7 linked regions of the Coturnix japonica genome follow. The protein of the gene in region 6 purifies or fractionates together with the protein of the main gene of each other region. This does not show direct contact. Links are inferred from orthologs where the notes say so. Each region holds a gene or a part of one and is shown on either strand. Other genes may lie near its edges.

Evidence for each region.
Region 1: the proteins of COP1 (region 6) and RBX1 purify together in Homo sapiens (affinity purification with western blotting; 3 studies listed by BioGRID, with this or other methods). This does not show direct contact. The link is inferred for Coturnix japonica from reciprocal best matches to the Homo sapiens genes COP1 and RBX1.
Region 2: the proteins of COP1 (region 6) and DET1 purify together in Homo sapiens (affinity purification with western blotting; 11 studies listed by BioGRID and IntAct, counting the BioPlex papers as one, with this or other methods). This does not show direct contact. The link is inferred for Coturnix japonica from reciprocal best matches to the Homo sapiens genes COP1 and DET1.
Region 3: the proteins of COP1 (region 6) and ETS2 purify together in Homo sapiens (affinity purification with western blotting; 3 studies listed by BioGRID and IntAct, with this or other methods). This does not show direct contact. The link is inferred for Coturnix japonica from reciprocal best matches to the Homo sapiens genes COP1 and ETS2.
Region 4: the proteins of COP1 (region 6) and ETV1 purify together in Homo sapiens (affinity purification with mass spectrometry; 4 studies listed by BioGRID and IntAct, counting the BioPlex papers as one, with this or other methods). This does not show direct contact. The link is inferred for Coturnix japonica from reciprocal best matches to the Homo sapiens genes COP1 and ETV1.
Region 5: the proteins of COP1 (region 6) and ETV5 purify together in Homo sapiens (affinity purification with mass spectrometry; 6 studies listed by BioGRID and IntAct, counting the BioPlex papers as one, with this or other methods). This does not show direct contact. The link is inferred for Coturnix japonica from reciprocal best matches to the Homo sapiens genes COP1 and ETV5.
Region 7: the proteins of COP1 (region 6) and CUL4A purify together in Homo sapiens (affinity purification with western blotting; 9 studies listed by BioGRID and IntAct, with this or other methods). This does not show direct contact. The link is inferred for Coturnix japonica from reciprocal best matches to the Homo sapiens genes COP1 and CUL4A.

Annotation. Positions count from the first base shown.
Region 1 is NC_029516.1:45,482,373-45,486,780, forward strand, and holds the start of RBX1 (E3 ubiquitin-protein ligase RBX1), read right to left. Parts: upstream 3,026-4,408; 5' UTR 3,011-3,025; coding exon 2,882-3,010; intron 2,081-2,881; coding exon 2,002-2,080; intron 1-2,001. UniProt on the Homo sapiens protein: E3 ubiquitin ligase component of multiple cullin-RING-based E3 ubiquitin-protein ligase (CRLs) complexes which mediate the ubiquitination and subsequent proteasomal degradation of target proteins, including proteins involved in cell cycle progression, signal transduction, transcription and transcription-coupled nucleotide excision repair.
Region 2 is NC_029525.1:11,805,282-11,809,682, reverse strand, and holds the start of DET1 (DET1 homolog), read right to left. Parts: upstream 2,840-4,401; 5' UTR 2,733-2,839; exon of another isoform or gene 2,140-2,732; 5' UTR 2,111-2,139; coding exon 1,028-2,110; intron 1-1,027. UniProt on the Homo sapiens protein: Component of the E3 ubiquitin ligase DCX DET1-COP1 complex, which is required for ubiquitination and subsequent degradation of target proteins. The complex is involved in JUN ubiquitination and degradation.
Region 3 is NC_029516.1:97,055,891-97,060,518, forward strand, and holds the start of ETS2 (protein C-ets-2), read left to right. Parts: upstream 1-1,786; 5' UTR 1,787-2,075; intron 2,076-4,628. UniProt on the Homo sapiens protein: Transcription factor activating transcription. Binds specifically the DNA GGAA/T core motif (Ets-binding site or EBS) in gene promoters and stimulates transcription.
Region 4 is NC_029517.1:24,985,588-24,989,548, forward strand, and holds part of ETV1 (ETS translocation variant 1), read right to left. Parts: intron 2,675-3,961; coding exon 2,486-2,674; intron 1-2,485. UniProt on the Homo sapiens protein: Transcriptional activator that binds to DNA sequences containing the consensus pentanucleotide 5'-CGGA[AT]-3'. Required for olfactory dopaminergic neuron differentiation; may directly activate expression of tyrosine hydroxylase (TH).
Region 5 is NC_029524.1:3,945,306-3,949,266, reverse strand, and holds part of ETV5 (ETS translocation variant 5), read left to right. Parts: intron 1-2,520; coding exon 2,521-2,650; intron 2,651-2,961; coding exon 2,962-3,240; intron 3,241-3,961. UniProt on the Homo sapiens protein: Binds to DNA sequences containing the consensus nucleotide core sequence 5'-GGAA.-3'.
Region 6 is NC_029523.1:4,928,847-4,932,807, forward strand, and holds part of COP1 (E3 ubiquitin-protein ligase COP1), read right to left. Parts: intron 2,718-3,961; coding exon 2,603-2,717; intron 1-2,602. UniProt on the Homo sapiens protein: E3 ubiquitin-protein ligase that mediates ubiquitination and subsequent proteasomal degradation of target proteins.
Region 7 is NC_029516.1:123,899,951-123,904,542, forward strand, and holds the start of CUL4A (cullin-4A), read right to left. Parts: upstream 2,959-4,592; 5' UTR 2,904-2,958; coding exon 2,729-2,903; intron 2,387-2,728; coding exon 2,271-2,386; intron 1-2,270. Other genes in the region: PCID2 (PCI domain-containing protein 2), read left to right, coding at 4,418-4,453. UniProt on the Homo sapiens protein: Core component of multiple cullin-RING-based E3 ubiquitin-protein ligase complexes which mediate the ubiquitination of target proteins. As a scaffold protein may contribute to catalysis through positioning of the substrate and the ubiquitin-conjugating enzyme.

The sequences.
Region 1 (4,408 bases), on a different chromosome or scaffold from region 6:
TGTGACACCAGAATATCACATTGATACTTTCCATCTTCTATCAGAGAGAGTCCACTATTTTGATGCCACATTTCACACAGTTCAAAGCACACCAGTCACCTTGCAGTACTACATTCCACTTAGAGGACAACCCACTATATGATCATGGTGTTTCTCAACATTCCCCAAACTTGCCCCATTGCAACCATTGCAGCAGGGAATAAACCTTGAAAGAAATCAAGGATGTTGCACAAAGAAAATCTAAATACATTCTGGGCCCTTTCAGAAATGAACAAAAACCACTGAAAATCTACTCATCCCTTCTATGTGCCGAACATGAGCCATAGTGAGGGCCAGGGGAATCCTTTGTCCTTAGTATTAGCAGCCAAGTCGTAATGTATGTGCATTAGCAAGACTGCACGAAACCTTAACATTGTTATATCCTAACTTTTGGATGCTCGACTTCATAATGTTAACAATCTTCCATTAGCGTGGCTGGTGTTACTTATCACCATTGTAATGTTTTCCCTTTTAAGGTTTCTCCTCATCAGTGGGAGAGGGAGACATTCCTGCCCTGCACTTTATCAAACTGAATCTTGTGTTGTTCTTCCCTGCACAATCTAGTAATTTTTTCTCTATTTCCCATCACTTCACATCTTCGGTTTGAAAATCTAATTAAGATGTTGCTTAACATCATTAATGATCGTTAACAAGGAAGTAAGTAAATCCAGAGCCAAGGCTGAACTCAGAACACCAATTTAGATACCGCTTCTACTCTGTATACTGTCAATTTTGGTCCATCATTTGCAGTTTGGGCTTTTGATAGCATTGATTATGCCCTAACTAATAAGGTGTTATGCTTGAGCAACTCAAAAAGCAAAACAAAACAAAAACTAAGTTACCTGTGCTCTCTTCCTTTGAAGTTCTTCCTAACACGTCTATATTCTTTCAATTCCACCCAACCTCAATTCTTAACTGTAAAGCACTATGTCAGAGGTCCTCAGCACATGTCACAACCACTCCTCTCACCTGCTTGCCTTTAGTGCTACCATTCCTCTTCTAATGATCAAGAATAAAGTGAGCGATGGACAGGCAGCAGCTGGCTCAAAATAGAACACATCTGACTCAAAGCAAAGAAGTCAGCTTGCTTAATCCCCTTTCAGCCCTGCATGGTACACTGCACAGCCTCTTTTTCTTTTCCCCTGCTCTTTTATATTATCACATTGGCTCACTAACAGTAAGTTACCATCAGCTGTACTTGCAAGGGCTACTAAGAAGAAAGTGAAACAAAGCGACCACAAAGAAATCATGACTAGCCCTTGTCAGGTACTGAAGGTCTTGCTTTTTGAGGTACCACAATCCTCCCATTTTAGTAGTACAGGTGACTTCCTATCTGGGGGATGTTAAAAGGTGTTCTGTATCTTATCATTGAAAGAACATGGACAGTTACGGTGCCAACCATATATTGCCAAAGATTTGAGGGGAAAAAAAAATGGCTCTGTTCTTATTGCCAATCCTCAATTAGACCAAAGCCGGTGACTTTATATATGGATACCTATTTCACAGTAGAATTTTTTATACTTACTCCTACTACCACTTTGTTTTCCTAAATAGTAAGTGTATTTGTTAACAGGACTGTTGGGACCATACAGGGGGGAAAAAAAAGGTGAATTAGTACTAGCAATGCTTGGTGTTGGTTTAGGCATTAGATTATTCTCTTCATAGATAACAAACGGATTCTCTAGCTGGCCACAGAATTCCCCACACTATAACCCTAATTTAGGCAAAGTAGCTTTGGCAGAATGAGGAGTCAAAAATTCAGTGGCCTGAATCTTTTCTGGTCAGTCAGACACAGAAAGCAGAACTTGAGCACTACATAGAACAGAGTTTATAGTGTTACCGAAAGACTTCATTCTGAACTGAAAACCAGATTTGCTGAAATGCACCCTGAGCAGTGGAAATTTCAACTGTGAATCTTGTACATGTCAAAACTGTAAGCACGCTTCCCCATCATTTACTTACATAGATCCATAATATGGTTTCTGCAGATGGCACAGTTATCAACCACAATGTCCCACGCCCACAGAGCTACTGCATTCCACTAGAGTGAGGGGGGAAAAAAGAGAAACATAAATTTTATTCAACATATAACACATGGAAATCCTCATTATTCCTCAAGATCCTCTTTCTTTCTGAAATGATAAGGTTAGGATATTAAAAGACACACACCTTACAGCACCAGAGTAATTCTTTCTCAGATACCTCTCACACTCAGTGCCTCCTTCCAGTCTCAGAAACAATTGATACTAGTCCCACTCTCTTTTTTTTGCCATACAAATGCAAACATCTGCATTTCAATTCATAATCTGGAGGCAAGAATGCATCTCACGCCACATCCTCAGTTTGGAACTTCTCTTGTTTGTAGCTGTTTTCCCAGTAATCATCCCTCAGAGCAGCTGGGGCCAACAACCAGAATCACCTCTAACTTTGCCCCTCAGCGACTCCTGAATCATTTTCATTGCAAAAAATATACAATATCAAAAGTGCTCCCACAAAGTGCTCCTAACCACCTCCGGGCCTCGTTGAAGTGAACTTGGGATCTTTCACCACCATTCAGCTCGCAGCCACACTGGAGAGGGTAGGTCAAAGAGGGATATTATGGTTGTTAGGCCAAAGAGGGATATTATGGTTGTTTGGGGGAAGCAAAGCAAACCGGGATGACAAGACAGCATTTGTTGGTCACCTACGAGTTGATTTGTGAAGAATACAAAAAGAAGCAGCCACACAAATGCGTGCAAAGCTCCCTTCACATCACGTAGGGCCACTAAGACAACTGAGCCAAAGCAGCCGGGACTGAGGAGGCAACAGCAGCGCACCGACTCGCCCCTAAGCCCGGCATTACCCTCGGCTCTGGGCGGCGGGGCCCAGCCAGAACTAGCCCCGCCTCGCCTCTCTCCCTCCTCCTCCCCGCGTGGTCGCGCCCTCTGATTGGCCAACCTCCGTTCCACGCGCGGAGACCCGTCTCACCCATTGGCCCCGACACACGCCAATAGACTCCGCAAGCACCGCCCCCCCCTCCCCTCATACGGCGGTGCCGGTGCGGAAGCAACGCCCGGCTCCGTGAGGGGGCGCGGAAAGCGGCTCAGCGCCCCGACCCGCTCGCGGCCACCTGGCCGCTCCCGACCTCCCTCCTCCCGCTGGGACCGGCCGGGTAGAGCGCGCCACGCCAGCAGGTCTCACTTTCTTCACTTCGAAGCGCTTCTTGCCGGCGCCGCTGTTGGTGCCGCTGGGGGTGTCCACATCCATCGCAGCCGCCATTTTGGATGCGTGAATAGGCCGTTCCGCTCTGTGCGCATGCGCGGCGGAAGGGGCCGCAGGGAGGTGTGAGCGGAAGGTGTAGGCGGGGCTTCCGCCAGGGCCTGCCCTTACCCCCCCCCCCCCCCCCCCACACACACCCCTCCGTCCCCGGCAGAGCCTTTTTAAGGGAGGAGGTTGCCTTGCTCTTCAGCCCTTGCTCCCTTCCCAGCCCCTCAGGTGGGCTGAGCTGAGCTGCATATCCTTTGTACCATATCAGCCTCAGTGCTACCCCAGTGGTGTGGGATGTCTCTGGGGCGCTCAGGATGCACTCAGGAATGAAAATGTTCTGAAAGAAAGCAGGAATTCATGTGCTCCGAAACACTTTTTAGAGCAATACTTTATTGTACAGAGGTTATAAAAATGAAGTGCATTTTATAACTCCTTAAAGAACTGTAGGGCTGGCTGGCTGCCCTCCATTGCTGATGCCACTAAAAGTAATTGATTTGGCTAAGTTTGCCTTTGCTGTTGTGAGTGTCCAGACAGACAGCATCACAAATGGTACCTCATTTACCGTCTTTCCACATTGCCACAAAACTTCTCAGAGTTCATGAATATCATGGAACTTCAATACTCTGTAGCATCCCCAGCTGATCTGGAGTGCTCAGAGAAAATTTGAATTCTAAGAACAGAGCCAGAGGGGTAGATTAAGCAATATATCCCATAGTTTTTTGGCCCAGATCATGGTTGGTTTCTGCATGAACCCAATCCCTCTGCCTCTGTGTGTTTTCTAGATGATGGTCACATTATATTCCCATGTAGTGCCATTGTTTTTTCAATCTGTTACTAAAACCTCAGGTGAGAAATGAAGCCTCCCGCTCCCCATAATCTGACTAAGATGAACAGATGAGATTCAGAGAGAGGAACGAGTTGCAGCATTTCATGGGATGGTGACTAATTGCTGCTCTTTCTTTCTCATGGTATTGCACCTCAAGCTGCTTGATAACTTGAAGATAAAATAACAACCAACCGTCATGACTCAAAACCAACATGCAGGTTACCAGGTGCTTGCAAAAACCATGGTACTTAATGACTGTGCCCAACCTACTGCAAACAGCCTTTCCTCATGCATGAA
Region 2 (4,401 bases), on a different chromosome or scaffold from region 6:
ACTCCCATTTTACACCAGTGGGTAAAAACAGTTTTAGCCTCATTTATTCCCTCCTAAAATAGTTACCCCAAAACAAACATAAAAGGGAAATCATGGTCACCAAGAATTACTGCCCATTTATTTTAGGGTCTAAGTAGTGGAACCAGTAAGATGGGAAGGATGGGATGGGAAGGATAAACAAGCACCTAGGGAAGAACCTGACAAACTTCAGAGGTAGAGATTTATTAATTGTTTTTGCCAAATACTTCCATAACAAACAACCAAACGGCACAGAGCAAAGGACTAAAGTAGGTTAATGTGAAAAATACCTTGCTCAGCTTCACACAGCTCAAAGACTGAGTAACAGTAACAGTGGTGAAAAGAGATGATCAACACGTGGGATGGTGAAAAGCCTGGAGGGACCCAGCACCATCTGAGCTACATTTACTCTAATTTGACTTCTTTAGTACTAAACAGAAAGGAAAAGCAATTGGCACATTAGCTGGATTTAAGAGCTGCTACTTCAATTTGGAGAGATCATAAATACTAGCTCTGACAGAAGCCTGAAAGAGTAAGTACGTAGGCAGCATAGAAAAGGTAATTCTACTGGTGAAAAATGGAGATATTATATTTGAAAAACATGCTCGAAGATGCAGAAGAAAAGGGAGAGACTACCTCTACAATGCGAGTGTATTACATGAAATAGCAGCTAAAAAAATCAGCTGGGGATTTAGGAGGGAAAGGGCACTGTGAAGCACTTCTGAGCACAGGGAACAATCCCTGGAGAAAGGGGACTCGATAACACCTAAGATCTTTTCTGCCTCATTTTCAGTTGCAAAGAATGTGGTGAAATCGTGAGAGCAAAAGATACTGAAGTTATTCAATACCAAGGGTGTCAAATGTTCACGCAAGAATGAAGTAATGGGATCCTAAACAGCACATCTAGTGAACATTCACAGGCTCAGCTACAAAATGCCGCTCACAGCACTGAACCTGCTTGAGAGCATTTGCCCCCAAGCAACAGGGAGCCCCAGGTGGCAGGCAATACCTGGGAAGGATCTGTTACCCGCAGCGTCACTACATCTTCACTAGTGTATTTGATAAACAGGTGGTTCTCATCCAAAAGCTGCATCTTCCACATGCGGAGCTGCCTCAGTTGATCAAAGTATTGGAAGAACCTCCTCTTTGCTATTGCGCTGCCGTCCTGCTCTGCCCTTCTCCACAGGTACACCAGCAGCCTGTGCTTCAAAGAGTTTATGAAGGGCTCTTTGTAGGGGTTTGCCATCCCCGTCTGAGTGTCCCTCTGCACCTCGGGATACACTGCAGACAGTGTCAGGAGATCATCCTCATAGCAGAAGCGGCCGATTGTCCGCACATCGATGAAAGTCCCCTCGGGCGTCACCTGAAAGACGTGAATAGTCTGCTGCTGCACAGAGAGAATGGCCAAGATGTTCTTATACAGGTACAGCCCCTGGTTATGAGAGAGGATGACTTTGTCGCACTTGAAAGTCCTCGTGTCACAGAGTCTGCCCGTGTGGAGGTCAATGATATGCAAGGAATAATCTTCCAGAGGGGAGCGAGGGTTGGGGGTCACCGACTCACTGTTGCGATAGACCTCAAAGAAGGGAGGGTGAGGCTCCTCAGGCAGGTAAGCAGCAGAGCCAACGATGACGTACCGACAGTCGTCAGTGAACAAGCTGCACTCGCGGTTCAGGTGCTCCCCATTAGAGGCCACATTGGTGATATGGAGCAGGACGAAGAAGCGCTCAAAGAGCCGCCCTCGGATGTTGACAGATCTTTGGTCATTGCCATTAGCCAGGATCTCCCCCTCGTAGCCTTGCAGGAGGTCCTCAGCCGCCTGGCAGCCCTGATACTCATAGATCTCCAGGGAGGTCTGGTCGGAGGAGAAGGCGATGAAGTAGCGCCCATCAGGGGAGAACTTGCGCAAGAAGCAGGGAGGCTTCTCCACATTGACCACGGTGAAGTTGGGGAAGACGTTCTGGTGGAAGACACGGACCTGGTGCCAGTGGGTGCCAGCCTTGCCAGAGCTGATCCGACGGCGCTCCAGGCGGTGGATGACGTTCTGGTTCTGAATGCGGCGAGGCTTGATTGTGGGGGCATCATGGTCCATGGTCAGAGCATTACTTCATCTTCACCCTGCTGCAGATGGTGCACACACTCACCGTGGGACCTCACCAAGGCTGATAACAAGAGATGGAGCTGCGAGCAAACTCACAATCCCATAAAGGTGGGGGCAGCTGAAAAAGCCTTTGGGAGACGGACTGGGAGAGGGGGTTCAGTGGGACATAACGGGGACAGCAGGAGGTACCCAGAGAGAACCCAGCAGGGAGATGGGACCTGCAGAACAGCCTGCAGGGCACAGGGAAGGATGGAGCCGAGGAAGGCAGCACACATACGTGGGTACCACCGGAATGAAGGGACACGGCAGCACCGGGATGGGGGTGAGAGCAGCCGGGACAGCGGGGACAGAGGGAGCCCGGGGGGAAACGGGGCGGCCTGTGGGTCACCGGGAACAGGAGGATCAACGAGCGGCCTGACTGGAGCCTGCGGACCGGGGGCCGCTCTGCCTCTGCCCCGCAGGGAACTGGGGCTCAGGTCCGGGCCCTCGGGGCACAGAGGAGCTCGGAGCCCCCCGGGCCTGGAAGCCACGGTGTGGCGGAGCCCACGAAGGGTGCAGGCCGCGCTCACCAACGGAGCCCGGCGCTGGACCCGCCGCCGCCGCCGCCTCTTACTGTATGGCCGCCGCCATCTTGCCGCCACCACACAACGACGCACCGCGACGGCGGCGAGAAGGCGTCACCCTCAACGCCCGCTTCCGCTTCCGGTCGGTGGAGCAGCGAGGAGGTGCGTACCAGAGTGTCCGCAGAGAGAGCGAGAGAGAGAGAGAGAGAGCGCCCCCTGGCGGAGGGAGGAGCGCTGCGGGGCGTCCGCGTACAGCGGGAACGGACTGAAACGTGCCCTGCAACGCTATAGCCCTGCACCCCTATAGCCTACAACCCTATAGCCCTGCACCCCTATAGACCTGCAACCCTACAGCCCTGCAACCCTATAGCCTACAACCCTATAGCCCTACAGCCCTACAGCCCTACAGCCCTACAGCCCTACAGCCCTACAGCCCTGCAGCCCTATAGCCTACAACCCTATAGCCCTGCACCCCTATAGCCCTGCACCCCTATAGCCCTGCACCCCTATAGCCCTGCAACCCTATAGCCTGCAACCCTACAGCCCTGCAACCCTACAGCCCTGCAACCCTACAGACCTGCAACCCTACAGACCTGCAACCCTATAGCCCTGCACCCCTATAGCCCTGAACCTATATAAATCCACACCCCTATAGCCCTTCACACATATAAATCCACACCCCTATAGCCCTTCACCCATCCTAAACCCCTATAATCTTGCAGCTTGCAAGCAATAAACCCTCACCCCCATAAATGTGCATCCATCCTGCACCCCTATAACCCTGCACTGCTTTAGCCCTGTAGCCCCTCACCCTTAAAAACCTGCACAAATGCTGCATCCCTATAGCATGCATCTCTATAGCCCTGCACACCCATAAACAGGCATCACTACAGCCCTACACCTATCCTGAAACCCATAATCACACACCCCCATAAACCTGCACCCATCCTCCACCCCTTCAGAACTACATCCCTGTGGCCCTATCAGCCTACATCCCTCCTGCGCTCCTATAAGTCTACACACCCATAAACCTGCATAACTGAGCCCATAAACCTGCTGGGGACGTGCTCACCCACACTGGTCACTGTGCTGCAGCCAGCCCTGGGTGAAGGGCCTCAGTCCCATAAAGCACTGAGTGACATTGCTATCCCCACAAAGCTCTTGGGACATCACCCCAATGGGGGGTGGCAGTTAGGTGCCAGGTCAGTGGGGACCTTTATAACCCCTATACAACCCCACCACTCACCTTGTGCCCCCATATATGTGTGTGGAAAGGAGGCACCTTGCATCCCCTATGGGATCATGAGGAAAGGACCCACTCTATGGGCCTGGGGGTCCGTGCCCATTTCCCTGTGGTTTTCCACAACAGGAGACACGATGACAAGCTGAAAATGAATGGCTTCAGCGCTTCTCTTTGTTTCCCTCCCCCCCCCCCTGTGTAATTAATTGGGATCCACCTTAATAGGATAAAACTAAATACCAAAGAGCATCCAACCACATGGCAGCTGGCAGGAAAATAACCGCCCAGCACACACACAGACAGGCAGTTCAACGGACAAAAGAGCCATTAACACAGCAGCAATCAGAGCTCCTGAGCTAATAACTCCATTGCCGTGGCCAGCCCCGTGTTGTGGCTCAGGGCAGCAGACCTTTGTGGGAACAGTTTTGTTTTCATTTGTCTGTCGGGGTTTGCTGATGGGATTTAAGAAAACTCAGTGA
Region 3 (4,628 bases), on a different chromosome or scaffold from region 6:
CTGGCTCCTTCTTTGCTAAAACTTCCATTGAGTAGTTGAAAGCAGCAACAAGATTCCACATTAGCCTGCTCTTCCCCACACTGATAGAACCCAGCTCCAACCTACTAAGTGTACACCACTTGTAAAGCTGAGTAACAGTGAACTTTACACTAAACAGTAATGAAATTAAATACCTGTCTATAATAAGAATTACTTTAAAAATTAGAATTTGAATAGAGGAAAATACAGCCAAGTTAATCATTTTGCTCTGGATCCAGAACATCAGTTTAGCTAGAAATAAGTAACACCCAGCCTTTCATCTTATCTTTTCGACAGATGTTTCCCCTGTATAAAGGGTGGCACAATTGTTTTTGTCAGTGTTATAATTAAAATTGCTATTCAGCCGACACAGAGTTTTTAATGGTTTCCCTTGAGATTACAGCAGATGTTGCCTTATTAGATAAGAACTCTCCCAAAGTGAGAAATGTTACTGATATAATCAAGACTTTTATTTCAATCTCAGTGTGTGCTGTCACTATTTACTTGGTGACATTTGTCCATAAGGAACGAATACCAGCCGCTGTCCTAAAGGGAGAGGGAAAGGCATGTTGAAGGGTTTGGAAGAAGTATTAGAAATCCGAGTGTTGTGGTCTGACCTTTGCTGAGCTTAGATGGAGAGCAGAGGAGGTGGACCTGTCAGCTGCACCTCCACCAGCCAAAGATACTACAGGTTCTTACTGGTATAAATAACCATCATTTAGTCATCCCACAGAGGGTCTATGGAAATCTGGTGAGTAGCAGTTATCCAGCTCCTGTTACAAGAAAAGATACAACGGCAAGATAATTTGAAATGGTAGCTAGTTTAAATAAAGCTATGTGTAACAGTGAGCTCCAAGAAGCTTTGCAAAGGCAGCTTAGGTTCCTGATGCTCACTGAAAAGCTGGAGAAGTGGAAGGTGGAAGTGAGGAGGTGCTATGGCACCCACACTGCGTATTGGTCACTCAGGGATCCATGGGACCCTTCCAGGGCTACCAAGCTTATGTGAGGCCTGAGGAGCTGCTTGGCTGACTGTGGTGTTTGGGTGTTACCTGTCATCGAAAAGTCCCCAAGACATCTACAGAACATGCGACACAACTGCTGAGTAATAGGTGTCCCAGTGTATTACGAAATATACTAGTCATACAGATACTTGGGATTTCAAGGGTTGATTCTCCTAAACTTAGCCCTCCTGAGGACAGGTATTAATTAAGAATACAAAACACTTGCCAAGCACCAGCACCGCTTCCCATAGCAGCTGTGGTGCCCCATCCCTGGAGGCACTCAAGGCCAGGTTGGATGGGGCCCTGGGCAGCCTGAGCTGGTGGGGGGCAGCCATCAGCTGGGTGGGCTTTGAGGTCCCCTCCAACTCAAACCATTCTGTGATGCTGTGATCTCGTGTATAGCGAGGGGAAGAAAACTGCTTTTCTGAACGACCCCAAAGATCCTCTCCCATCCCCATGCTCCCCAGCGAATCCCGCAGGCCCCACTCTGCGCACAGCATTAAATCAAACCCTCCTCCCTTTGCCCGGAGGGAACTTCACTCTTGTGCTGACGGTCTGACAGGCAGACACACACACACAACCAAGGTTCACAATCCCAAACGAAGCCTCGCCAGGCCCAGCGAGGCACCCGCAGGGCCGACTCCAGTCCCGCCCAGCCTCACACCGCCCTATGCCGGCGCCGAGGCAGGCCGCGCTCAGGGGCCGGCCTCCGGGGGGCGGTCCCGCAGCTTCCCCCGCCCCTGCCCCCTGAAAGCGGCCGGCAGGCCGGGTAGCGCGGCACAGCACGGCGCTGTACGGCGGAGCGAGGCACGGCCTTACGGAGCGGCCAGCGGCACGGCCGGCAGCGCCCACGCAGGCGCCCGCCTCCCGCCCGCCCCTTTCTTCCTCCTCCTCCGGGACTCTCCGCTGGGATCAAGCCGGCTCTGCCTCTCTTGTTGTCGGTCGGTTGTGCCACATCGAGGATATTTTGGCTCCCGGAGAGGCAGCGGCGTTTTCTTTTATCCGTTTTTTGGGGGAATTGTGCTTGCGCGGTGCCGCTGCGAAGTGGAAGAGCAGGTGAGCCGGGGTGGCTCACCCCGTGCCGTCCCATCCCACCCTCGGGATGCGGCGGGGACCTGGCGGTATGATGGGGGGAAGGGGCGGCTGCGGAGGGACCCCGAGGGCTGGGCTGTGCCATCGCCGTGCCCAACTACTTTTAGATGGGAGAGAGAGTGTGTGTGTGAGGAGGCGGAGCGGCTCTCTGTCGCCGGGCCCCCAGGAGCGAAATCAGTCTGTCCAGGATTCACGACTTGCCTTGGGATCATCGTGGCGTGCCGGCTGTGGGCGCGCACCTGGTCCTCGCTGAAAAGGAGTCGATCAGAATTCAGGAGTATTAGTTAATAAGTGCCTGATCCTGTTGACCCTGTTCTGGTTCACCCACTCAGCTATGCGGGGGAGGCGAGGAAGGTGTCCTGCCGGCTAAACCAATTACAGCTGGCAGGGAGCAGTCATCGGCGTTGCTGAGGAGCTGGGAGCCAGGCCCAGGCGCACTGTGCCCGTGTGTCTTCTATGAACTCAACTCCAAACCAGCGGGAGCTGCTCAGCCCACTCGGTGTTGCGGTGTCTTCTCAGGTGTTTGGGGCTGGTGGTGCTGAGGGAGGTAGAAAACCGGAGTGAAACAGATGTGCCTTGTGTTGTTGGTAGAGTAGAGCGCTGTGTGCCTCGTGAGAAAGCCGATGGGGAGGCCATAGGATGAACGAGCAGTCTGACATAGGAATACAAGGAGCCGGGTTAATGAGCAACGCTGGGTAATGAGGGCTTCTTGGAGATCTTTTGTCTCAGCACCCAAAGAGCTTCTGAGGAGACAGACAGAAAAATCAGGAAGGGTAGAATCCTTGCCCACTTAATCACAGAGTTGTAGGGCTTGGAAGGGACCTCTGGAATTCCCTACAGCAGGTCACACAGGAGAGTGTGATGGGTCTTGAATATCTCCTGAGGGGGGAGATATAATCAATGGGAAAGTCCCAAAGAGGAGTCTTGTTAAGGCCTGGGTAGCACCTAAAATTGTCAAAAATCCTATCCATCACTGTGAAGATGGGATGTAGGATTGTTGATAGCGTGTGTAGTGCCCTCACGAATGCCTTCTCGTTGTTGAGGCTCGCAGCTTGTTTTCCTATGTACCTGACCAGGTTTCAAAGGCAAGACAAAAGCCATTAAAAATTCCATAGTGCCGTAGTTGTTTGGTTTTTGTTTGCTTAGAGGAATAAAGAAAGCCCAGTTGAATGTAAGGATGAGCAGTTGTTTAAACTAGTGAATTTAATGGGGGAAAAAAAAAAATAAATAATAAAAAAATGAGGATGCTTGCTGAGTGAGACTCGCGCTGTGTGAAATTCTTTGGTGCTCAATGAGATGTGTAATTTAGATCAAATATTTGCACATGCTATTTGAGGTAAAACCCATCATTCCATAGATTGCACTTTTGGGTAACATTAACGAAGGATAAGTGGACTGTTCCTTTTATATTGGGCTGATTTATGTCGTTTCAGTGATAAGAGCCATACATGTAAGAGCTGTGAAGTTGAAACAGGCCTCTCAGGTTGAGGACTCTTGACTTTTAACTGATTGCAAACACAGGAGGATGAAAGGGATCTGTGGCTGTTTGGTATTTTTCTTCTGCTAGATGGACAGATGTTGAATGTGTTGTCATCTTAGCAGCTCCACTTGTTTTGTGGTTTTGGTTTGTTTGTTGTGTTTTTGGTGTTTGTTTTTAAGCTCTAATTTGCCGTCTTTTTCCACGTTTAAGATTGTATGTTGACCATGTTTAAGTTTGTATGTTGATTTTTTTTGTGTGTATTGAAATGGCTTAAGAGAAATTGCTTGTATTTAGTAATCACAGTTTTGTGGGAATAATAATGCCCTCGGTTACTTTGTTTAAATAAGAGTGAGTGTTTTCAGACAGTTTCTGTGGAACAAAACAACGCAGCACAATGCAGTGACAAAGTAGAAGAAAAACTGTTGAGACAACTTGCCACAGTCTAGCCTGATAAGGTATCATTTACCGACACCCGAATTACAGCATCGTGATAAACTTGAACAGTGGCAGTAAAATCTGCTTTATTCATTGAGTGTGATCTCTCATAGGATAAGGATCTTATCGCTGTATTCCTTGAATCATATATAAGAGAACATGTTATACAGCCCTCACACAACCCTGCTTCTGGTGGCATTGGGAACTTGATAGCCTTGATTCGAGCAGCATGAATGTGCTGTTGGTGGTCCCAGCTCTGAGAAGGGTGTTTTATTGCATGAACCCTTTTTGGCTTGTATGCATTTAGTAGGCTCAAGTTTAAGTGTATTAACCCAGTGCTCATAAAATAGGTGAAATAATGCGTGTCAGAGATGCTGTATCTAGTGAAGGAAGCAGGTTGTTTGTATTTGGAGCTGGTTTTCAGGGGTAATTCGTGTGAGGAGTGAGCAAGGCAAATGCCAGTCTGAAGGTGCCACAGTAAGCAATGCTGCTTCTCTTCATTACTTTAAAGGCAAAGTCCAAAGTGAATTGTGCAGTGTAAGCATAAATATAGTAAGTGAAGGTAGACAACACTTCATGTTTAAAATGATGGGTGAAAGGTA
Region 4 (3,961 bases), on a different chromosome or scaffold from region 6:
GCAAAAGCAGGCATTCTCATGGACAAAATGGAGTAAATGAAGAAGAAAGCAGGGTTTTGACTGCATAAATAACACAGTCCTTGTAAATCATCTTATATGTAGTACATGTTTCTGAAATAATTGAAACCCTAACATCTCAAAATACTCCAGTGAACTTAGTCTGAGAAATATTTACCATCATAGCTTAATTACAAATACTGTGGGAGCTACAGGGATAGAAACTATTGCAATGTAATACTAGAGGTATTTTTTATTTTTTATTTTTTATTTTTTTAATGCTGCTGTAAATATTCTATTCTGCAGTACAAAGAATATTACACTGCAACATTGGTTTTTGCAATTCCACCTACACCTGCAGAAAATAAACTTAGAAACTCAAATCTATTATGAAACAGTTAGGCTGACTGGCACTGCATTCATTTCCCTCTTTTCCTTTTTTCATTAGCCAAAAAAAGAAGCAGAAATTATCATTAAGAACTGTCAAGGAGTGAATCAGAAAATTGCAACTTGAAGTTAAAATAAGAAACAGACTCACTCACAAAGCCTCAAAGGAAGTTAATAATACTTGTTGTACTGGAAGCTTTGTATGGAATCAAGTCATTTGTTTACACAAGTGGATTTGATTCCTGTTGGTACTTGTTAGGACCACTTATCCCTCATATATTCATGCCCAGTATGAAGATGTATGGGCTGTATCTTCTAGATACTGATTCCATCTTATACCACCAATGCATATTCCAAAGAAATATGCTTGGAGTTAAAGATTTATATACAAACTTACATAGGTAGACCATTTGTTTAAATGACATTTTCTGAATGCACTCATCACAGCTACCATCTTGTACATCAGGAAGATTTGAATTGGACAAAAATATGAAGTGTACAGTTGTTACAAACAACAGCAAATGAAAAGATTCAATGTAAAGAAGGAAAAAATATCTTTCACTACAATTGCACTTTTCTTTGTAAAGGTTGAAAAAAAGGAGATTTTTACTCCAGCTTATTTGACATTCACTAAAATGTGATATTTTATCACAGAAGGGAAAAACAAGTGCAAAATTTCCCAAAGAAAATGAACTTCAAAGACACAGGAAAAAGAAAAAAACTGTGTGAAGAACCCATAAAGCTTGTATAGAACAATTATTACAGCTACAGAAAGATAAACTAAGGGCTATGCAAACCTCTATAAACATTCAAATTCAGACTGACAGAGTTTCAGCATTCTCTTCACAAGTTGCTCTAAAGTAATACTTAAATAAAATAATGATTTTTTAAAACCTATAGAATACTCTCTTACACAGAATCCACTTATCTTTGGTGGATTTCAGTCTCCTGACAATACACAAAGACTTGGGTGTATATAGAGAAATACATTTCATCACACTCCTCCGATCAGAACTGCAGCCTGGCTTCACCAGGGGTCAACTTGGTTAAACTACAGTGCAAGGAGGGGAAAACTATACAATGAAGTTGAAGGGGCCAATTCAGTGCTCCTTCAGTGCTAGACATGCTCATAGGAACCCTGGGTGATATTTAATACTATCCCAGTAGAGCACAAAATAGCAATATAAACCATAGCAACCTCCTTCAGAAGTGATCTGCGCAAATCCCTGGAGATAACAGCCCTTATTAGAGCAGAAGCATGCATGTCAAACTCCCCAAATCTGTGATTTTCTTTTCAGGTACAGTTTAACAATTTGTTAACAATTGGCTAAACTGTAAGCACTAAGACAAGTCCCTGAACTTACATATCTATATATAGCTGAAAATCAAAATGCTCTGAGAAACTGCACAATTCAGCAAACACAAACAGGTTCATGTAACAATGGTTAGAATGAACAGAATTCCACAAACAAGTGTCTGGTCTCAAAAAAAAAGGGAAATGCACTGAGCATATTTGTTGCAAAACAGAGCTAAGAAAGACAGTCAGTTGTCTAGGGATTTCTAACATCAAAACAAAACAGGGTGACTTAAGGACAGTTTAAGCTTTAATTCTAGTCTCCAGCTCTTGTGGCTTTTACTCAGACTAATGTTATTTAAGCGCAGTTTATGTTGGCATCTTAGTTTGTTTGAAATGTTATATTTCAAAAGCAGTTGGAAAAACGATCCACCCTTCCAAAGAATATTCTCAAGCAGTAACATCGTAATACAGCCACTTATCTGTTTGTAGGTACATTTCTTAGGAAGATGCAAGACACTTATAGCAAGGATCTTGTTCGCCAGTGACTTCATCACCTCATGGGGCTTACTAGCGTCAAGTGAGCTGCCCTCACAAGGCAGTAGAACCAGCTCATTAAAACTGTGTCAGTGTCAAGACCAACTTCTACTGAAATCCATCAAGCAGAGTGCCACTCTTTTACACAGCACATGTATTTCTGACATTCTGAACTTTGCTGGCTTAAAGCCAGAGCTGTCCTATATGAGAGATATGCAGCCACCACTGAAATGCCTTCTGGACCGGTCCTGTATGTGTTCTGTGTTTTACCTGTGATCCATAGGGAAGCTGTTGTCTTGAATGGATTGGGATGGAGGGAGATGGGCAGGGAAAACCCGGTCAGGTTTAGGAGTCTGAGCTGAGTTTGGGGAGGCATGGTGCAGTGGTGACACAGGAGTGCTGGATGGCGTTGGTGGGTTGGAGGGCCTCATTCCCACTTGTGGCTTCTGATCATAGGCACTATAAGTAAAGCAAGAGGAAGGATAGTCAAGTTATTTTCTCAGCAAACACATGAAGCACATTAAGAGAATAAAAAAAAGCAGAAAAAAAAAAAGCGTCACATACAGGTTTTCTATTACAGATATTTTATTAAGCAGTTTAAGGAGGGGAAACTCTCTACACTGAGAAGAGCACAGAAAAAAAATCACTTTGGAAGTAAGTGGCTCAACATAGCATTTTCTTCTCTGGAGCCTAGAAATGTATTTTTAAAGGATTCAGTCCTACAGTGACATTCTAACAAGGGATACACAAAACACGCAATTGTAAAAGCACCTGGACTAGAGCACGAAGAGCCGGCAGTGCCTGTCAAGACGCTTTTTAGAATGTGTACAAACCACAAAGTGAGACAGTAAAACAATGAATGCAGCTAGAGGGAAGGGATCTGACCCAGAAAAACAATGCTATGCTGGCTTTGCTACCCACATAGGATGTCAGCAGCCTCCCTTGACTTTTTTTTTTCCCCCTCTCAAAAATAACATTCAAGTCCTGCAAATACAAAGGTGTCCCAAGCAAGAAAAGGACACGAATAAACTTTGATCATTCCTATTTCCAAGCAATAAAAACATAGATGCGAAGCAGACAGTAAGCAAGAACTTGCATACTTTCCTATGTCAGGTACTCTAGCGTCCACCAGATCCATTAATACACACATTTGATTTTTGTAACCAAAACCATTCTAGTATGACTGATGAAGGTATCAGTCTGGGTTTTTTTTTTTTTTGTTTTTTGTTTTTTTTTTTAAATTTTCCTCCACACATAAAAAAGTTACCGCAAAGTATTTAAGCGCTTTCAGTTTTGGTAATACATAAATGTGAGTCTAAAGATTCGAAAATAGACTCAATTGTCAATTAGAAACCCTTCACTGTTGACACTGAAGGTAGGAGTGACATGTAAGTGCAAGCCAAAAGAAAATCAATAAAGAATGCAGTCATATCAAGCCCCTCAAAAAAATTAAAGCTTTTACTGTTTACTCATATAAAAGATGACAATTTCTTTTGAAAAGATAGCGAAGATGCATATCCTAATGAAATACTATTTCAAATAGTATACATCCTTGAATGTTGGCATATGTCATTTCAAAACATGTCAAATATCTAAGGTGCTGCTCAGACCTCCCAGTCTGTTACACAGAGCTTACTCTCTTCCCTAATGTATGTCATGCATCTTGAAAGTATTTTCCAGCACAACTCACAGAAAACCAGACACTCCTTCCATTTCATGCTTGCACTATAGGTTTTAAAATTCTGG
Region 5 (3,961 bases), on a different chromosome or scaffold from region 6:
CACCCAGCTCGATCCCAGTGCCCCCCGTGCACTGTGCTGAGTGTCAGTGACACCCGTCGTTCCCACCTTGCTGAAAGCCCTGGTGGAGCTCAGGCTGCCTGCAGAGCGGCTGATCAAACTCCTGTGGGTCACAATGTCATGGCAGGAGTTGGGTTTGGCAGCACGCAGACAGGTGTTGGCCAACACGTGGCACGTGTCTCCTGTCCTCCCACCTGGCCCTGGGGAGGAGGGCATGTGCCCAGAGCCTTATCTGGGGCAGTTGTTTACATAGGCACAGGGTGATAGGACTGTGCTGGGACAGCGAGTGCTGGGGGTGGGAAGGTGCAGGGTCCCTTTTTTTGGTAGGGAGGAGTGTTGTTCCCTGTGGAATTGTGTCCCCCCACGTGGATGGCTCACAGTGAAAGCCATGAGCAGGCTTTTTCTTGCCTTTTTTTCTTTTAAGACACCCAAATGAAAGCAGGAGGTTTGTTTCTGAGGAAGGAGAGCTTAAACAAAGGAAAGCAAGAGCACGGCTTCTATTTTTGGCTCCTCTCCTGGCGTGACCTTGGGTGCGTCCTGTGCCAGGGGGACAGAGGGGCTGGCAGGGAGCTGGTGCCCAGGTGACGGCTGCGGTGGTGCCAAGGTCCCCAGCTGGTGCGTGTGTTGGAGCGGTGCTTGGGGTAGAGCCACCACAATGCTCCATCCTGCAGGCTTGTAATGTGCCATCCAGACCGGACTCAAAGCCCCAAGCAGCTTCGGGGTGTCCCCTTCCTTGCTGAAGGTGTCAGCTCTTTGGTGGCATCATGGGGCAGGCCTGGCTGGAGATGCGATGCTGACCCCCCTGGGCTCTGTCCATCCTATGGAACCAACACAGCCCACAGTAGGGCCATCAGGGGTGCTCCCCCCACACCCACCCCCCACTCCACGTGGCCGGTGCTCAGGTTGCCCACCCCCCAGAGGCAGCTTGGTTCGGTGCTTCCCCCAGCAGCCGCTGGATGTTATTTTTCTTTCTCCTGGCTCTTCCCAAAGGGTTTTCCGGCCTCACCACCTTGCACAATCGCTTTGCTTTGAATGAATTTGGCGGAAAGGCCGAGCTGGGAGCGCAGCGCGCCCGGCCCTATGCTGTTTGTGTAAGGAATTCAAACGTTGCACAAAGTCCGGGCTTCTTTGCGAGGACAGCTGGTCTCTGTTATGATCTTAAGTATCGTTTCCCTTTTCTTGAATGGCAGCACTAAGCTCTGGGGAAATTTTTCTTTTCTTTTCTGGTTTTTTTTCTTCTTTTTTTTTCCCCCTTCCAACCGCATGAATGGAGCGCTCCAAATTGTTTGTGAATGGAGGGTGGTGCCCCGCTCCGAGACTTTTTTCAATGAATAACCAGACCCCATTGTGCGGCTGGCGGAAAAACAACCCGCTCGAACAACACAGAGACTGTTAGGGAGAAACATGCCCGTGATCGGCAGCTGGAGCCCTTCCAATGTGCGTTCCCCTTCGCTTTCCTGCGGTGTCGCAGCCTCCACACCGGCCCAAAATGCACGCAGGGGAGCAAATCTGGCCCCAGGGTGGCTGGGGGGGCTCCAAGCAGCACAGGGGCTGTGCTTGCTCAGCCCGGGCTTCATGTTTCAGATGCTCCTTTGGGTTTTTCTTGCCCTTGGTACCAGCTGTGCTGGGCTGCAGTGGGGGGGGGAAGAGGGGGGAAGTCAGCAGCTCTTTAAAGGGTTTGACAAATGAGGGGAGCAGCTAATTACCTGGCAAGCAGTGAACAGTTGTCCTGGAGCTATTTGCTCCCCTCTGGTGTAGCTGGGCTGTGTTTAGACTTTGCATGTAGCTAATACTCCACTTCCGATTAGTGTTGGCTCTCCCGCTCAGGCGTGATTTAGGTAAAGATCTCTGACGTGCTTTCCCTTTCCTAGAGCACCCGCTTTTAGAAATTAAAGAAGTTAAGCATATATTACTCGGTTTAAAATGTGTATATATAGTGAACGGGCTTGGAGCTGGGAGGGCTTTGGGTTTAATGGGCTGTTTGCCCCTTGAACTTGTACAGTCATGGCTTCCATCTCGCAGTGGTCCCAGCACTGAGCACAGCACACGTGGTGCTGGCTGCTGCTCACTGCTTCTGGCTGGCTTGTCTGGGGCTGGGTGCAGGCAAACATGTAGTGGCTTCCACAGGTCTGAGTCTGGGTACACTCAAGGAAAGGTCCATGTGTGGCAAAGGGTGGCACTGCTGGGCTCATAGCTGCTTTGTAGGGGATGGTCCAGGCACACCACTCATTGGTGATCACCCACGTCCTTGTCCCATGCCATGCTCTGCCCCCACACCTCATGAGAGGGGAGCAGCTCCCCTCTGTGGGTGATGCCCAGCTGTCCCTGTAGTCCTTGCTGTGGGTTTTTTGTGCTGTTGTGATTCTCTTGTGCTCCTGTGGAGGGGGTCAGCTTCTGGCTTCCTGAAGGGAGCACCCACACAGCTGCTCCTATGCCTATGGCCTATTCCCATGCAGCTCAGAGTCAGTGGTGCCCATGTCTTCCTCCTCCTTCTTGTTGCAGTGGTCCTGCATGCTCCACCTCCAGCCAAGATCAAGCGGGAGCTCCACAGCCCTTCCTCAGAGCTGTCGGCCTGCAGCCATGAGCAGGCTCTCTGTGCCAGCTACGGAGACAAGTGCCTCTACAACTGCTGGTACGTCTCTGCGCGTCCCTTTCTGCCATCCCCTCACTGGAAGCTGGGTGATGGGGAGCATTCCATGTCAGCAGGCAAAGCACTGGTGCCAGAAGGAGTTTGGGGTCCCCTGCCTGGCCAGTCTGAGCCCCTTGCAGGTGGTCACACCACGAGGGCTGTTTCCCGCTGCCAGCGGGTAGCAGTGGCCATGTCACAGGCGCTTGTCTCATGTGTCAGTCTCCTCTGCACCATGCTCTCCCCAGGGGCCCATAGCTGTCTGACTGTGTTAGCGTTGCCTTGCTCTCAACCCCCATCCCCTCTCCCCATTGCAGTGCCTACGACAGGAAGCCCCCCACTGGGTTCAAGCCATTAACACCACCCGCCACGCCGGTGTCCCCCGTGCAGCCGGGCTCATCCCTGCCACCGCCGCCGGCCCCAGGAGTGCAGGCAGCTGCCCATGGCGGCCCAGCGGCTCCACTGCGCAGCACCGCGCCGGCACCACACCTGCTGCAGGAGCAGAGGCAGCAAACCTTTGCCGTGCCGCGGCCGCCCCACCCGCCCATGCACATGCCAAAGATGATGTCTGAAAACCAATACCCCACAGAGCACAGGTAAGGCTCAGTGGCCTCTGGAGGTGGAGGAGCAACTGTTCTGCGTTCGTAGACAGCAGTGCTGTGGGAATGGTGCTCCATATGGGAGCAGGACCTGGGGCTGGATGCAGCGCGCAGGGAAGGTCAGGCTGCATCCCTTCCTGGCACAGCAGCCAGCTCCAGTACAGAGCTCGGTTCTGGGCGACCTTGGAGCTATGCGGGGGACTGGCTGCGACCCATCTGGAAGTGCCATACCAGCACGGGGTTTGGGTTTCACTCAGGAAGGGCAGGGGGACGCGGGTCGGAAATGGAGTAATCCCAGTCCGTCAGCTGGGAGGGATCTGGTTACAAAGCTGAGCGGTGCTCAGCGGCCCCGAAAGGAGCGGGCGCCCGGAGATCGCCTTTCACGGTGCTGCACCGTGCAGGGGTCGGCAGCATCCCTCGGCCCACTCCTGTGTACCCTGCACAGCACTGAGCCTCATGGGAGGGCACCGGCCCCTCGCTCCCAAAATAGTACTGTCCGTACCCGGTTCAAGGTTTAATCCCAGGCAGATTAGTGGCCAACTGGCTCTGTGGCGCAGCAGAGGGGATTTGGCTTTGCGTCAGCACCTGCCCTGTTGCAGTGGCCCTGGGCCCCAAGCAACATTGCCTCACCTGCTTTGAGCTGGCTGTTTTTATCTTACAGCATCGTTGCTTTCCTCCCCCCCCCCCCAGTCCCACACTTATCCAAGGCAAGAACCCT
Region 6 (3,961 bases):
GAGTTTCCTATATAAGGAAGAATTCCTAACTTACAGCCATGTCTCATGGACGAGCCAGCTTTCCTAATGTGATCAAGCAACGGCAGTCAAACATCAGGCAGAGCCCTCAGGCTTTGTAGCAACCCCCAGAATCTGCAGCAATTCCCCCTTGCCTTCCTTGCAGCTCTGACATGCAGCACCCTGGATTGCAGGTAGTCCAGTATGCAAGTCACATTACTGAATACTTTGCCTTTTATTAAACCACAGCACCCACTGCAGCAGCAGAAAGGTACACATCATTTGCCTGTGCAGCCGAGGTCGCTAATTTACACCACAGTTAAGCTTCCCTTATCAATAGCGTAAGAAAGTGATATAACTCAACTTACTGGAAGTCTTTGGAAACACTGGGGTGAAAAAAGGAGAAAAATTGCAATAGTTATTTCTAACATTTCTGCACCATGGTAATTCCTTGTCATCAGAAATTATCTTGCTTTGTAACCATAGGGCATTTTGAAGTGTCCCCTGCAAGCTGTTTCATGTTTGATTGCATAAAGAAACAGCAAAGTTCAGTAATAAGCGTGTTTTAGGGTACAGCCATGGGTACATTACTCATGTCAGATAGATCAGAATGAACAAAGCACTGCTTTAAATTAAACCCTCAGCACCTGACCACTAAAGAAAACAACTCGAGAGGCAGCACATAAACATCAGTAAGTATTTTTCAAAGACCGATTCCTCCTTTGACACTTTAATAGGAGCAAATAGCTGCTGCTCTTCCATTTCCCTCATTTAGAGATCAAGCACACAGTCCTCCTGTAATTTATTCTGCATCTATGTCTGCAAAACGGGATGTTATTTCTCAAGACATTTTCCTCGTCAAAGCACGAGGCCATTTCATAATTCCAGCTGTATTACTGCTCTGCTCCTTACTAGAAGATTTTCAGGCATCTCTTGCAAATAAACCCCTTATATCCATATTAAATCCTATTTAAAATGTGTCAAAAAGCAGGAATGACTTTGAAGAGAAGAAAATCTAATTAAGCATTACAGGTTATCCCTTATTTAGGGCAAAAACAGCCGTAGCAAATCCTCTACTTTTGGTGCAGCTGACATACACATAAACAAAATGCACAATTGCACCGCATTCATATTTATAGTTCCAATTATGAAGAAAAATGTCTTCAACAAGGGAATGCTGGGAAAAGTCCAATTTGTTATCCTTAGCTAATAAACGTATTATTTTAACAAAAACACAGCTCCGTATCACCAAGATAGCACACATGGAAATATCTGTGCTAATCTGTGAAGTACTGCAGCCTGCAGAACATTACAAGCACCTCACAGGAGTTTGGCTGGTCACACACAACTACCTTCTCCCATCATCTTGCAGCCCATCATGCCACAAATTGTTAGAACTGTGTTGCTGGGCATGACAGGACCCAAGTCAGCCACTGCTCCCAAACAGACATGCCCGCATCTTCCATCCAAGAGTGAGCTCTCCTACAACACTTGGCAGTCTTTGAACATAAAAAGGCCACATTTTTTTTTGTTTATTAGTAATAGTTTTCAAAAGCTGGAAAATGTTTAGGCAGCCAAACCTCAAATTAACAGAGGAGCAGGGATTTGTGACCCAGCTTGCTTGCTGATCTGTATCCTGGCATGCTAGTCCTTGCCTTCCAAGGTTATAAGCAAAGATGCTCTGCTGCAGCAGCCCCTGCCTGCATTATTTTTGTGCTTCTGAGGCTCCCCTCAACCTGCTCTTTGCTGCATTCTCTCCCTCTTTGTATAAGCTGCTGCTCACAGCTTGGTGCTGCACATCTCTTGCCTGCCACAGCCCATTGCACTAAACTTCTTTTCCCCAAAGCTTGCTTGTTCCCCATGAGAGCCAGAGAGCGACCTTCCTCTCCCTTAAGAGGCATCCGTTTGACCTGTTCGCTTCCAAAGAGAATATCGTTATATAATTAAGAACCATCCATCCACCATGTAACAATTACTCTAGCTGCTGCCACACTGTTACTCAATTATGAATGAGGCAATCCAGGCAATTGTGAAAACAGCTTCTAATTCTACAAAACAAGTCTTAAATCTAAGGTGTGCCCCATGGGATAATGATGCTGCTGCACACTCAGCTTCTGTACTTGAAGCCATTTGTTAACCAAGACTCACAATCTGGACAACAAAGGATAACCTCCAAGTGTTGTACCGCACATTAAATATAGTAACATTTATCAACGTGTTTTCACCTCTTTAGTATTTTGATAAGTGTTTTAATGACTGTGCTTTTTCCACATCTAGAAGAAAAACTACCCAGCCACCGCAGCTTCAGAACAAAGATTAGAGAAAAACTATTTAGTGGTTACGACCTTCATAGTACAGCATTACAGAGCAACATATGTGGTGCTCTGAAACAATAGTATTATACTTTATAAGCTTAAAAACCTCAAAGACTGGTCATGAAAAATCTCCACAAGGTGACTTGAAGAAATATATGCATATGTATAGCAGTGTTTCTCAAGGCAGGGAAAAACAAAGGCTTGTCTCTTAAAAGTGAAGCTTTCCTGAGAAGCGGGACTGTGAGAAGTAAATGATGTCAAAAGCTGAACACCAAGCAGGAGGAACTCACCTGAGACACGTGTCATCCTTGTGGAAAAATAGCACTGCTCCAGGTCCTCAAAGTGAGCTGTGAGCCGCTTCCGTCGTGAGGCGAGCGTGCTGTTATACCACGGCTGCTTTTTGGCCTGAATGGAGAAAATGCTTCTTGAGAGAGGAAAAGACAAGTCTGGGCTTTATTTCAATAGATTCTAAGAAACTGAAATACAATTTATTCACTGTATCATCTGGTGAGTCAGAATTTCACAGTGACAATGAAGAATATCTATCCACTCATGACTAGGGCCTTGCATTGCACCTTCTAACCTGAGAAGCAAAAAAGCTGCTTTTAGATGGCAGTCTTCTCAATCTCTGCAAGCTCAGCTTTACACACAGGACAGATGGCAGCAACCCATGGGGAGCCATGCATCGCATTTGTGCAGATAGACAGCAGAGGCCCAACATACAGCCTTTCAACTTCCCAAATCAAATGGACTGTACAAGAATCACTTCCTAGATCTCTAGCAAACCACTCATAAAGAGTAGGGGCTGTTTAAGGAGTCAGTGAATTATTCCTTCTGAAGTAACTCAGTACCTATAAAAGTAAACAAGTGAGGAAAGAAGCAGGAATACACTAAGAGACTAAGTTCAAAGGTTAATTGAAAATAAGTCCATGAAACACAAAAAACCACCACTTCCCAACCCACACAGGCATCAATGCTGAGGGAGAAGGACTGAAACTACATAAGCAAGCTCTCCCTTAGAAAACAAATGGAAAACAAAGTACTTCTTGTTTCAATCACTAGTGAAAGGAACAAATTATTGCACAAGGAGCATGAAGAGCATCTCGCTTCTGTTTGTGTTTCAAAAGTCTCACACATCACTCAGAGATAATGGGGGAATTTTAAAAGAACCAACAGGCTCCGCAATGAGCATTTCTTAGGGCACAATACTCCTGAACACACACAAGGTGTACAACGCCTCTCAAGCACTAACAAAACCCACATGCCACGAAGAACACAGGTTCAACTCCCCCTCAAATCATGAGGCAGAATGGGGCTGCTCTCATTGCAAATGTCAAGAAGCCAACAAGAATAAACAAAGTTTAGAGCCTACTTTGAGATTCTGCTTGTAACTGTACAAACAGTAACTTAACGCTCAAGGGAAGAAACATACCCCGAGCAATGAAACTTCCAGATGCCACTTCCTGTGCGAGGCCCCTGGCTATGTGCTGACATTGCGACTCATAGCTCGACAGCTTGTTTCATCTTGAAAGCGGCTCCAATCTCAGAACACATCTCCAGTGCTGGAAAGCACTCCTACCTCAACAACTTTTGAATACAATTTTCAAAAGCTTCACAGCTTAAAGAGAGAGGTGATGGAACATTTTACA
Region 7 (4,592 bases), on a different chromosome or scaffold from region 6:
CTCAGCAAGCTCTTTCTGCTTTCCTTTTATTGACTAAGGCAGAAGGGAAAACCAGTAATTTCCTTCTTCTGCATGTTTTGCTTTGTTCAGATTTTTTGCTGCCTCTGAAAGAAACCCTGATTTGATCTTTATTTATCTTGCACACAATGAGACTGGGGAAAAAGCTGTAATAATAATTATCTCTTCTATTATGACATGAGAAAGACAGCACTGTAGGCTCTTCACCTACACAAGCCATGTATAAGTTTCAAATAACCACTTTAATGGCTTGTTTTGAGCCGAGTCCTCTGTTTAGTAAGCTAGTTATTGCTGCTTGTACTGTTTCCTCTATCAGTTCTAATATCCTGAAGAGCTTATCTTCCAAAACACACAAGATGGAAACAAGCAGGCATTACATGATTACTTTGTTGTTTATGCTGGTTTTTAACTTCAGTCTTAGAACAGGTTACGTGAGGTGACCTCTGAAACAAACAGTGATCACACAACTGTTGGTCAGATATTTGGTTATGCTTTCTAAGACACAGCCTTTCCTACCCACCCACACAAAAGTCTGGTCCAGATTCAAAGCATTTACTTTCTTCCCCCTTTACTGCAACAATGTTCTATTCCGTGCCCTCAAGAAGGGCAGCTGCTGCCCTATTTCAAGCTATTTAGGATCTTGTTGCAAAGGGAATTCTCTTTTCCCATTATTTTTATCACTCGCTCCTCACTCGGCAGTTCTTTGCACTGCCCCACTTTCTGTAGCCCATCAAATATCAGCCACTTCCACCCAGATCCAGGCAATCTACCACCAATCCCAGACATCACTTCTATTTTAGTAGCAAAAATTGGCTGCCACCCTCCTATTGCTCACTGCCTCTGCCAAGCACCTTTGTGCTTTAACCCATGCGGCCACTGCCGCTTGGGAAAGACTATGCTTTGGGCTTCCCACCAGGCCTTGTTTTTAACTCTGCCACCGTGCCAAATTAAATACATCAATCAAGAAGTTCCAAGGCAGGCTGGGGTACCACTGCCTGCTGCACTGAGCCCCAGCAGCCTCTCTTCTCCTGTCATGGTGCCAGATAGAGATGCACATAAAGGAGCACTGCCATAGAGAAGCAGTACACACACTGATATTTTCCCCATGGATGGCTCTGTGCTCACCAACCGAGAGTTACAGCGACCTGTACATACAGGTCAGCTTTCCAAAAGATGCTGAACTTCCTCTTATTCCTTTGGCAGAAGGAATATGTATGTATGTATGTATGGGCATGTTCACAGCCACCACCCACCGTACAGGAATCTTGCTGATTTGCACCAATGACTTCCTGACTGCTGGGCTGTCCTTACAACACGCACATTTTTACAAACAGAATAAGCAAAAAGCACAGTTCTCTCTTTACAGCTTATCTGAGATCTCCCTCCTCCTCTACTGCCAAAGCTCAAGTCCGTGCCCCGGCAATTTCATACCCATATTACTATAATCTCTTTTCTGAGCCTCTGAAAACAAGTTAGGTAACATTCAAAGCATCTGTGTTTTTCTAGCTGGGCATGAAAATGCAGGATTTCTCAAACGCTCTATTTAAAACCATCAAATGTATTATGTAAATCAGATTCTGCAAACCTATAAGTATTACCAGACACATATATATCAGTCCAGCTTGAAGGCAGTATGTTATATTAGGTCAATATGCCTTCACACAACGAGCCGTTCTGATGCCACACATTACACTCCATCTAATGACACAGAGAAGTCACTTCAGCTCTGAGACTCACCCTGCTTGTTAACTTCAGCCGCGTGGCACAACTTACAGCATCAGTGATGTTTTATAACAACACGAGCAGTGCGATTCTTGCCTTCATTCTCCAAAGAGCACTGACACTGAAGTCTCAGCATCGTAACAAATACTTTTAACGCTGGCTACTCTCAAACACCAAAGCATGAACCAAAAAAGCCATTGTAAAACACAGACACTGCAAAGCCCAGACAGAGCAAGACCCTAATTTCAGGATCTGGAGCAGGCAGAGTGTTGGGGTGGCTGGATGCCCAAGTGCAGCTCTCAATACCTTCCAACACAAATTGCTTCTTCATGGGCCCAGACCTTGAGAACTCTCCTAGGAGCAGCGAGAAGCTGAGGCACAACACTGTGAACTGTCTGGAAACACAGAGCGTTCTGGAGATAATAACTGGCCTTTAACGAGTCAAAAATACATCTCTGCTTGATCTGAAGCCCTGCGAGTCTCCATTTTCCACATTACACCGAAAGAAAACATCACCGTACGGGTCTTACCTGGTAGAGCTCCTCGAGGTTGTACTTAATAGAAGTGCTGCTCTGAATGGCTGCCACCGCCTCGTGAAGTTTGTGCCAGGTGTCCTGCGTGTAGTTATCGGGCAGCTTGGGCCTTTCTGCGGGGGAACACGGAGGCGGCTGAAGGCGGCCCGAGGCTCGGGCTCCCCGCAGCCATCTTCCTCCGCTCAGCCCAGGGGCGCTCACGGGGCACGGCCACGGGGCAGGTCGCGACCCCACGCGAGACGGCAGCGCCCGAGCGCGTCCAGGCCCGTGGCCTCCTCCTCCTCCATCCTAATGCGGGGCCACCCCAACCCCGCGGCCCCACGCGAGACCCCGGGATGCGGTTAGGGAGCGGCGGCAGGTTCTCCGCGTCCCTGTAAGGCGGAGCGGCCCCCGCGGTAAACAAAGGTGCGGAGAGGCCGGGCCCGGCACCTGCCGCCGCTCGGCCCCGCACCCACCTCTGAAGTTCTTGATGACGAGTTTCTTGGAGGAGGCGGCGGCAGCACCGGCCGAACCGCCCCCGCCGCCTCCCCCACGCGTGGCGGCTGCGGCCAGCGAGGCGGGCTTGGTGAGCCCGTTGGTGTGCCCCACCAGGGCCGACAAGTGCGGCTTCTTCTGGGCTTCGTCCGCCATCTCCGCCCCGGGCGCCGTGTCCGGCCGGGGCAAGGCGCTGCGCTGGGCTGGACCGCCCGGTCCCCGCCTCCGCTCTCCTCCTCCTCCTCCTCCTCCTCCTCCTCCTCCGCCCGCCCTTCTTCCCTCCCTCCCTTCCTCCCCCACCTCGGGGCGGCAGCCCAGCCCTTCCCGCCAGCTTCACACCGAGCGTCCCCGCTCGCAAGATGGCTCCCGGGACGGACGGCTACGGCGGACTCTCGGTGCGAGCCTCTTACAGACAACCCGTGGGGAACTTTATTCAGCTTTTTGGAACAGATTGCCAAGGAGCTGCCGTCCCTTCTTCACAAGGCAGGCACTGCGGCCCCCGGAGCACAACGGTCCGCTCCCATAAGGTCTTGCTCGGCAGAGAAAGACCTGGGGGTCCTGATGGATGAAAAACTCAACATGAGCCAGCAGTGCGCTCTGGCAGCCCGGAAAGCAAATGGGATCCTGGGCTCCATCAAGAGAGGGGTGGTCAGCAGGGATAGGGAGGTGATCGTCCCTCTCTACTCGGCTCTTGTGAGGCCCCATCTGGAGTACTGTGTCCAGGTGTGGAGCCCTCAGTACAAAAAAGACATGGAGATTTTGGAAAGGGTCCAGAGGAGGGCCACAAAAATGATCAGGGGCTGGAGCACCTCCCCTATGAGGACAGGCTGAGGGAGTTGGGTTTGTTCAGCCTGGAGAAGAGAAGGTTGCGGGGTGACCTCATTACAGCCTTTCAATACCTGAAGGGAACTTACTCCCAGGAGGGGAGTAAACTCTTCGAAAGGGCTGACAATAGCGGGACACGGGGAAATGGTTTTAAGTTGAAAGAGGGAAGATTTAGGTTGGATGTTAGGGGGAAGTTCTTCACTAGGAGAGTGGTTAGGCCCTGGAACAGGCTGCCCAGGGAGGTTGTGGATGCCCCGTCCTTGGAGGTGTTCAAGACCAGGTTGGACGGGGCCCTGGGCAACCTGATCTAGTAAATGTGTATGTTTGGTGGCCCTGCCAGGCAGGGGGGTTGGAACTACATGATCCTTGAGGTCCCTTCCAACCCGGGTCATTCTGTGGTAAGCACAAGCTGACACCGGACCCCGGTACGACCAGCACGCTAGTCCCTCTGCTCCCTCCTCCCGCCGCTCCGCCCACTGACGTACCACACACACCGATGCACGTGCTTTTATACCTAACGCGCGCTCTGGCCCCGCCCACCGCTCTTTTCCATTGGCTGCCTCGAAATAGACCACGCCCCCAAACGGCTCCGGTGACTACGGGAAGTACACGGCGAGTGCCGGAAGTGCCGCTGTGCGCCGCGCCATGGCGGGGAGGTTAGTCAGTGTTTGGGTTGGGGGCGGTGGGGGAGGTGCGAGCAGGAGCACGGAGACAACGGGGGCAGCCCCGGCCCGGCCTTCCTCACAGCGAGGAGGACGAGGTGCCTCTGGGCTACCACCCTTCTCTAAGACTCCGGTTCTTTTGCAGAACGTGATTTATTTCGGCCTCCTGCCCCTTGTGTTCCAATGGCCCACATCACCATAAACCAGTACCTGCAACAGGTAAGAGTTTCTTTATGTGTCTATTTTCCTCTGGTGAGGCCGCATCTCGAGTGCTGTGTTCAGTTTTGGGCTCCTCACTATGAGAAATACTTGTATCCTACATACAAGGATAAAGCACAACAGCGTTCTTCTCATCCCC